Macaca fascicularis: one gene and its partner. The protein of the gene in region 1 interacts with the protein of each later gene in a biochemical or structural test. Links are inferred from orthologs where the notes say so. Each region holds a gene or a part of one and is shown in the gene's direction. Other genes may lie near its edges.

The links.
Region 2: the proteins of PPP2R1B (region 1) and PPP2R2A form a complex in vitro, tested with the Homo sapiens proteins (2 studies listed by BioGRID). The link is inferred for Macaca fascicularis from reciprocal best matches to the Homo sapiens genes PPP2R1B and PPP2R2A.

What each region holds. Positions count from the first base shown.
Region 1 is NC_088388.1:110,685,828-110,690,644, reverse strand, and holds the start of PPP2R1B (serine/threonine-protein phosphatase 2A 65 kDa regulatory subunit A beta isoform), read left to right. Parts: upstream 1-1,646; 5' UTR 1,647-1,673; coding exon 1,674-1,787; intron 1,788-2,645; coding exon 2,646-2,736; intron 2,737-3,133; coding exon 3,134-3,234; intron 3,235-4,817. UniProt on the Homo sapiens protein: The PR65 subunit of protein phosphatase 2A serves as a scaffolding molecule to coordinate the assembly of the catalytic subunit and a variable regulatory B subunit.
Region 2 is NC_088382.1:29,548,447-29,552,484, forward strand, and holds part of PPP2R2A (serine/threonine-protein phosphatase 2A 55 kDa regulatory subunit B alpha isoform), read left to right. Parts: intron 1-1,136; coding exon 1,137-1,249; intron 1,250-1,940; coding exon 1,941-2,118; intron 2,119-3,441; coding exon 3,442-3,606; intron 3,607-4,038. UniProt on the Homo sapiens protein: Substrate-recognition subunit of protein phosphatase 2A (PP2A) that plays a key role in cell cycle by controlling mitosis entry and exit. Involved in chromosome clustering during late mitosis by mediating dephosphorylation of MKI67.

The sequences.
Region 1 (4,817 bases):
CCACCTCTGTTCTTTTCTCATTATCCCAGAACAATAAAAGCAGCACTAAAACACACATGTAAATGTAGGTGCTGAAATTGTGTGGCAATACTGAGTTGTAAGGTGGTCACCCAAATAATTCAGAATATGTTTATACAAATCTAAAAAATATGAAAATGAAAATAAAATTAAAACCCTAGAGAATACATCCACAAACATAATTTGAGAAAAACTGTTCAGGTCTGCTGGTTCCCAAACTTTCATTACTATCAAAGGCTCTATCTATTGTGCTTACTTCCAAGCACCTCATTCATTCATTCATTCATTCATTCACAGGCTCTATTGTGCTTACTTCCAAGAACCCTATTTATTTATTTATTTATTTTTGACACGGGGTCTCACTCTGCCGCCCAGATTGGAGTACAGTGGTGCGATCCTGGCTCACTGCAACCTCTGCCTCTGGGGCTCAAGAGATTCTCATGTCAGCCTCCTGAGTAGCTGGGACTACAGGTGCCGGTCACCAGCCCAGCTAATTTTTGTATTTTTAGTAGAGATGGGGTTTCACCAAGTTGGCCAGGCTGGTCTCGAACTCCTGGCCTCACGTGATCCGTCCGCCTCGGCCTCAGACCCCATGTTTTAAAAAAGTCTGTCTCCTACACTGCATTAATAGTTTCATTAATCAGGCATATAGAATTACCATTTCGGAGCTTGTGATCACCATATGTAGTTATCACTCCAAGCTGCTTAAATTCCAGTCTAAAACAAACAAAACATTCTAATTATTCTGTGCTACCCTGACAAGGATAAGTGAAAACTTTCCATTCAGGTTTGTAAGAACGAGCTCCCAGACCTCCACCTCTTCCCCTTGCTGCCTCTGAGGACTCTTGGAGGTCTAGGGAGGCCAGTTTGGGTTTTCTTCCTCAAGGGATTAAAGCTTGTCCTAGTTTTGCTTCATTGTTGTACTTCTAGCATGCTAAAGAGCTAAAAAATGGGAGGAAGAAAATACAACAGAAGGCACCATTCCAGTACCAAACTGAAAAGAAACACAAAAACAAGAGAGCAGCATGTTTTTAACAGCTTGCGTGGAAAAAATATTGACTGGGGAGTTTGGACAGCACTGTTCATTTTCTCTCACCGCCCGCGTTATTTGTCTTACGGAGCAGGAGCCAGATACCATTCTGGAGAACAGGCCGACGGAAGAGGTGGAGGGGTTCTGTGGAAGCTTGAGGCTGAGCGGAGAAATTAGGGCTGGAGATCCAGTGGCTCAGGGCCAGGATGAAGTCAGGGGAGGTGCTAAAGCCTTTTTCCTCCTGGCCTCGGGCACTCTCTTTGGTCCGCCTGAGTCTTAAGAGGGCACAGCGCGGATCACTCAGGTAGGTCCCTGGCCCCTTCAGACTACAACGAGCCGGATGAATCCCTGTCCCTGTTTCTTTCGGCTGGGGAAAGGACGCAGGGGTTCCATTCGCTTTCTCAGCCCACCCGTCTTCTTGAGTTCAGACCTACAACTCCTGCAGTGGGGGTCGGAAGGGAGTCTTAATCATCGGGACAGAAACTCAACTCCCCAACCTCTGCTAAACCCGCGCGGCGGCCTTCTCCCCTGCTGCCCGGGCGCGGGGCGGGGCCTGGGCGCGGGGCGGGGGCGGGGCCTGGGCGCGGGGCGGGAGGCTGTGACCAGCAGCAGGAGGAGAAAGAACATGGCGGGCGCATCGGGGCTCGGGACCGGCCCAGGAGCAGCGGGGGGAGATGGAGATGATTCGCTATACCCAATCGCGGTTTTAATCGACGAGCTCCGCAATGAAGACGTGCAGGTACTGGACTGAGGCCGGGGAGCCGAGGCGAGACCGACTGGTCGCGTGGTAGAGAAGGGGGAAGGCCTGCGCCTCGGTGGGGGTGGCCGGGGTACTGAATGAGCCGGACTCGTAGCAGAAACTTGAAGGGGAGGCAGGGAAAGCTCTGCGAGGGGCTGTGGTGACACGCCTCGACCCTCCCGGGGACCTCTCTGGTACCCCTGCTTCGGACCCCCTAAGGGGTCCGCCCGGAGCCTTGCCTTTCCAGGGCGGTTGTCGGGGAACCCGCTTCCCGCCTGGGCGCCCTATCCGGGCTGTGAGGTGGCCGCGCCTGGTAGGCGAGGGAGCTGGAGAAGCGCGGTGCCGGGCCGAGACGGGGCTGGAGCGGCTGAGGGGCGCAGGATGCCCAGAAGCTCTTTGAAGTGCCTCGGAATCCCTTCATCTGGGCTTGGAACTGGCTCGTCCTGTTGGGTAGAAAGAGGGGGTGGGATGGCCGATTAACCTGGACGAGTCGTTGTATCAGCTCTGCGGGAACTTTTCTTTGAAACCACAGGCGTTGTATTCAACCGTTTCACCTGCTTCACCACTGCCAAAGTCCTCTCTTTTTAAGATTATCTTACTTCCTGGGTGTTGTATTGTCTTTCATTCATTTCTCTTCCAGGCCCTTCTGAGTGTTTCTCCCAGGAAATCTTCCGCCGGCTAGTGAGGCCGAGTTACACTCCTCCGTCCTATGGAGGTTCCTTAACAGTAAAATCTAAGTAAAAGGTTATCTTCGTTCTTACCCCTGTGTCATTATTTCACCTGTTAGCACCTTTTGTCTTTTGATCTAAATTCAGCCGTTTCTTTACATTGTTCTTCTTTCTACTTTCTTTTCTGAAGCTCCGACTCAACAGTATTAAGAAGTTATCAACAATTGCCCTAGCACTTGGAGTAGAAAGGACGCGAAGTGAATTGTTGCCATTTCTTACAGGTATGTGAATCTTTGTTTAAAGAAAGGCAGGGACATTCATTTTCCAGGGACTTTCGACACTGACTTTTTTAGAGTTTGTTACCCACATTAAAATGAGCCAGGTGCTTTCTGTGCAAAAGAAACAGAACAGAGGATATTATTAGTTGTGGTTAGATATATTCAAACATCAACCATTTAGCTGTTGGGAAAGTAATTGATATGGGAGTATGAATTTCTAATTCGTTGTGCAAAACAGATCCAGGAAGATGGTTGATTGAGGAGAAGGAAGAAAATGCTGTTAGGATTTTGACTGGGCCACCTTACCGGTCGCATAGTGAATCTGTTCCTAGTTTTGTGTCAGTGTCCAGCTATGTGAGAGCTATCCATGTTGATGAGTCCCTGTTGTTGTCCCTTCCAGATACAATTTATGATGAAGATGAGGTACTATTAGCTCTTGCTGAGCAGCTGGGAAATTTCACTGGCCTAGTGGGAGGTCCTGACTTTGCCCACTGTCTGCTGGTGAGTATTTATAAGCTGCCTACCCTCCTAGAACTTTTGCAGTATAAATGATACACAGTTTGGTGATAGACACACTGCAGCATTTTTTATGCAGATCTTTTTATGGGCAGATAGTCATGTGAGTCATTGAGAGAAGAAATACTATAGGCACTTTGGACTCAACCCCTTCTTTTTTTTCTGTGAATAAGAGAACTTCGTCCTTCTTTTCTGCATCTGTAGACTTACTAGTTTAGATGGAGGTAGAAAAAGGATTTGATTGTTTTAATGGTTCCCCCGCATGATGTTGGAAACCTTAATTCTCACCTGGCAGCATTTTGTCTTTGTCAATTGTAACTTTTGCTTCTGACTTTCTGATGCAAATTGATGAATTTTTGATGAATTTGGTTCAATTTCATTGACATTTATTAAGAGTCTACTTTTTGGGAGGCCGAGACGGGCGGATCACGAGGTCAGGAGATCGAGACCATCCTGGCGAACACGGTGAAACGCCGTCTTTACTAAAAAATACAAAAAAACTAGCCGGGCGAGGTGGCGGGCGCCTGTAGTCCCAGCTACTCGGGAGGCTGAGGCGGAAGAATGGCGTAAACCCGGGAGGCGGAGCTTGCAGTGAGCCGAGATCCGGCCACTGCACTCCAGCCTGGGCGACAGAGCCAGACTCCATCTGAAAAAAAAAAAAAAAAAAAAGAGTCTACTTTATCAGACATATCGTAATTTACAATGTTAATGTTGAAGAAGACCAATGTGAGGGGGCTTGGTGGCACAAGCCTGTAGTACCAGCTACTCAGGAGGCTGAGATGGGAGGATCACTTGAGCCCAGGAGTTTGAATTCAGCCTGGGCAACATAGTGAGATCCCCATCGCTTAAAAAAAAAGAAAATGACCACCAAAGTGAATTGAATGAGGTCCCTTGCCTTTATGCGTCAGCAAATAATTACTGTGCAGTCTTAAATGGAAAGGTGTAAGTACCTACAAAATACCCTACCCACGTAATAGAGGGGAGAAAGAGATTCACTCAGGGTGATCAGGGAAGACCTTGGGAGATGATGTCTAAACTAGGTTTTAAAGGATGACCAGGAATTCAACAGATGGACAAGGTAGGGATGTATGCGTCAGGGCTTTCAATACTGGGTAGTAATACTGATTCTGGTGATTTCTATCTCTAGTTCTGGTTTTTCCATGGAACTCCTGAGGTAGATTGATTAATAGATAAGTATGAATATATAGATATAGATACATATATTTCTATGTATACAGGCCTATGCTTTTTTCTACTTGAATGTCAAACAGGTATTTCAAACTTAACATACACAAAACAAAACTTAGCTTTATCCCCCAAATACACTTCTCATTTAGTTGTTCCACTTAAGTAAATGGTATCACTGTCTTCCCAGTTGGACAAGCCAAAACCTAGAATATATTCTTGAATTCTCTTTCCCTTGTTCCCCACATCTAATCCATTAGTAATTCCTATAGAGTCTACGTATATTTCAAATCAGTCCACTTTCTTCCATCCCTCTTATTACCAGCCTAGTCCAGACCATCATCTTTCCTCTAGATTGCTGTAGTAGCTTCCTAACAATGCTT
Region 2 (4,038 bases), on another chromosome or scaffold:
AAGTACAGGATGGATTTAGTGACTTACTTCTAAAGAATAGAATATGGCAAGGGTGAAAGAGTCATTGTATAGTGGAGAAGCCTGGCAAACATTGTCTTAACCAAATGACCAAAGTTAACACCACCAGCTGTAAGTCATGTTGATACTGCTGTATCCCCTTGAACAGTGCTGTGAGAAGTCACTTCACCTCTGTGTTCTTTTCCTGAAAACCCATGGTCTCAATCTGATCATGAGGAAACAGCAGGCAAATCCAGTTGAGGGATATGCTTTCTAGAAAGTACCTCACCGCCAATACTCAAAACTGTCAAGATCAAGAAAACAAGGAGAGCCTGAGAAACGTAAAGGCAGAGAGACTGAGGAAACTTGATGACTAAATGCGGTGTTGTTTCAATTCTGGAACAGAAAAGGAATGTTAGTGGAAAACCTGGTTAAATCTCCAAATGAAGTCTGTAGTTGAGTTAATAGTAATATACAAAGTTGATGTCTTAGTTTTGACACACGTACCACGGTTGCGTAAGATGTTGACAGAAGAAACTGGGTAAAGGATATATGGAACACTACAATTCTTGTAACTTTTCTGTAAATCTAAACTTAATTGTAAAACAAAAGTTTGTTTTTAAACAGATGCCATTTTATATATCCTTGATACCTAGGAATTTGGTTTCTTCTTGAAGGACTTGGGGATATATGCTTTTAATCAATTTTCTTCAGGCCCTGTTTCCTACTTCTGAACCCTGATACGAAATTCAATACTGAGCGTATATGGAGTGTATGTGTACATGTATCTACAGACATACATGTGTTTGCATACACCACACATGCATATCAAGTTTTTCCTTCTAGCTTTAATTACTTTTAAGGGATAGGGATAGAGACCTGTGACTTGATTTGACTATCACATGGAATTTATATGAGTGCCACTAATGTATAAATTTGTGATCTTTGTACTTTATGTGTGTGTGGTATTCAGCTGTTAATAGGAAATTTTTTAGTAAGTCAGCTTAGGGTTTTTTTTTTTTTTTTCCATGGAATCCTTTTAGATGAAATGTGAAATAGCATATTTTAAATGCCTTAAAATGTTTTTCTTCTTCAGTACTACCCTTTTATTTTAAGGGCTTGCTTTATTTTCTTCCCAGATAAAACAATAAAATTATGGAAAATCAGTGAAAGGGACAAAAGACCAGAAGGGTATAACCTGAAAGAGGAAGATGGAAGGTATAGAGATCCTACTACAGTTACTACACTACGAGTAAGTACATAAGAATAAAATGTCACAGATAGTGTTTGTATTCATATTATATAGCCCAAATCCTGAGCAGAGCTTGAATAGGAATAATTATAGTCTGTCTCCCCTTTCCCAATAATTCTGTAATCAGGTAGAATATTGAGTAACTCATTTAAACATAGAAACTGACTTACATAGAGGTCTCACTTTGACCAGGGACAGAAGCAGGACTCAAACACAAGACAGTGTTTCATGCCATCAGACTTCATCTCTGGTTTGTCATGTTAGCTACTACAAGGTCAAGTTTCAAGATAAATTTTCTTTGGAAATCAAAAAAGTAGATATAGATCAAATCTTCTAGTTGTAGCTAAAAAATACCCAAAGTTAGATGTTATGGGTTAATTTTTTTTTAGCCTCTTTAATTTGAACCATAAACATTTATTAACTTGGCATGTCTTTCAAGCAAAATATTGGAACTAAGAACTGCAAATTGTAATAGTATTGCTACCAGTAAAAGAAGATATATTATCCACATTGTTCATTTTTCTTCAGCATTTTGAAAGGATCAACATCAGTTCCTTTTTAAAACTAAATCTATGTAATATTGTTCTATTTTATGTTCTCAAAAACTAAAATAATGAAGTTTTGTGAATCTTAATTGCTATTTGAAACTGAACCTTTTGTAACTTCTTTTTTTCATGTGTCTTATTGACAGGTGCCAGTCTTTAGGCCTATGGATCTAATGGTTGAGGCCAGTCCACGAAGAATATTTGCCAATGCTCATACATATCACATCAACTCAATTTCTATTAATAGTGATTATGAAACATATTTATCTGCAGATGATTTGCGGATTAATCTTTGGCATCTGGAAATTACAGACAGGAGTTTTAGTATCCATTTGGTTTTCTTTGGTGTTTGGTGAAGAGGCATGTTGTGCCCATATTGGATTTATTTCATCTCTCCTTAATGAATGTGATTCCTTCTTTTTATAGTCTGTATACATATATGTATGGCAACTTACTTTTTCTTTGTATATGAGTAGTGAAATACTGGAAAGAGTTATTTGCTGAACATAAAGGGCATAATGTATTATTTTAAAATTGGATTCATGGAATTTTAAGGAATTTGTCTTGTATCTATGGAAATAGGAATTTTTAAAAATCAAATTTGTGAGGTCTGTGCATGGTAGCTCATGCCTGTAATCCCAGCGGTTTGGGAGGCTGAGGTGGGAAGATCACTTGAGGCCAGGAGTTCAAGGTTACAGTGAGCTTGATCTTGCTTCTACACTCCAGCTTGGATGACAGAGTAACACCCTGTCTCTAAAAAAATTTTTTTTTCTTGTAATCAAATTTATGGAGTATTGTGTTTGAATTTTTTATTGTAAAAATAGTCTCGGCCAACCGCGGTGACTCAGCCTGTAATCCCAGCACTTTGGGAGGTCAAGGCAGGTGGATCACCTAAGGTCAGTAGTTCAAAACCAGCCTGGCCAACATGGTGAAACCCCATCTCTACTAAAAATACAAAACATTAGCTGGGCGTGGTGGCGCATGCCTATAATCTCAGTTGAGTTAGGAGAATTGCTTCAACCTGGGAGACAGAGGTTGCAGTGAGCTGAGATTGTGTCATTACACTCCAGCCTGGGCAACAAGAGTGAAACTCTGTCTCAAAAAAAAAAAAAATATATATATATATGTATATATATAGTCTCATTAAGATTAGAAAAAGAAATTCACTCAAGTCATGATGCATGATTGGGTCAATAAAAATACTCTATTGAGGCCGGGCACAGTGACTTTGGGAGGCCGAGGCGAGGCTGGTGGAGGTCAGCAGTTCGAGACCAGCCTGGTCAATATAGTGAAACACCGTCTCTACCAAAAATAGAAAAAAAAATTAAAAATTAGCTGGGTGTGGTGGTGTGCGCCTGTAATCCCAGTTTCTCAGGAGGCTGATGCAGGAGAGTCGCTTGAACCTGGGAGTCGGAGGCTACAGTGACCCGAGATTGTGCCACTGTACTCCACCCTGGGTGACAGAGTGAGACTCCGTCTAAAAAAAAGGTTTTAATCCCTTTGGAATTTATACTCATAAAAACAGTGGAGTACAATTCAGAATTAATACTTTTGCTTAGGTCCGTGAATGGGTTTTAGGTTTGAGAAATGTAGAATTATATTTGCCCTTTTTTCTAAGTGGAAATTCCTTAATAAAATGTTATCTAGACATTGTGGATATCAAGCCTGCCAATATGGAAGAGCTGACAGAGGTGATTACAGCAGCAGAATTTCATCCAAACAGCTGTAACACATTTGTATACAGCAGCAGTAAAGGAACTATTCGGCTATGTGACATGAGGGCATCTGCCCTCTGTGATAGACATTCTAAATGTAAGTTTATTGTATCTTTCCTTAAAATGATTACATATTCTGTTTGTCTGAAATAAGCCTCAGATGTGATAAGTACAATTACAGAGGTTTACAAGTCTTAAACCTGTGTGTCCAGAGCCACTTGTACCCTTGGTAATCTGCCTACCTCCTCATGAGGCCTTCCAGGTTATTCCCTGGAAGCACGTATAGTCAAGCTCTCTTGGGGGGCATGTCTGTTGATAATATAGACAAGGAATGTATTTCTCGTGGAATGCTGCTGTTCTTTGGTAACTTGTGGTTGGGCTCTCTAACCTTGTGTTCAAGTAGAGCTGCTCCTTTCTTTCCCATTCTCCCTTCCTGTTTTGAGCTTCCTAGGAAGATTTCTTCTGAGAAGAGGTTTCCTTGGCTTAAAAGAACAAAAACAACTTTGGTTTAAAAACTTCAGGATACAGT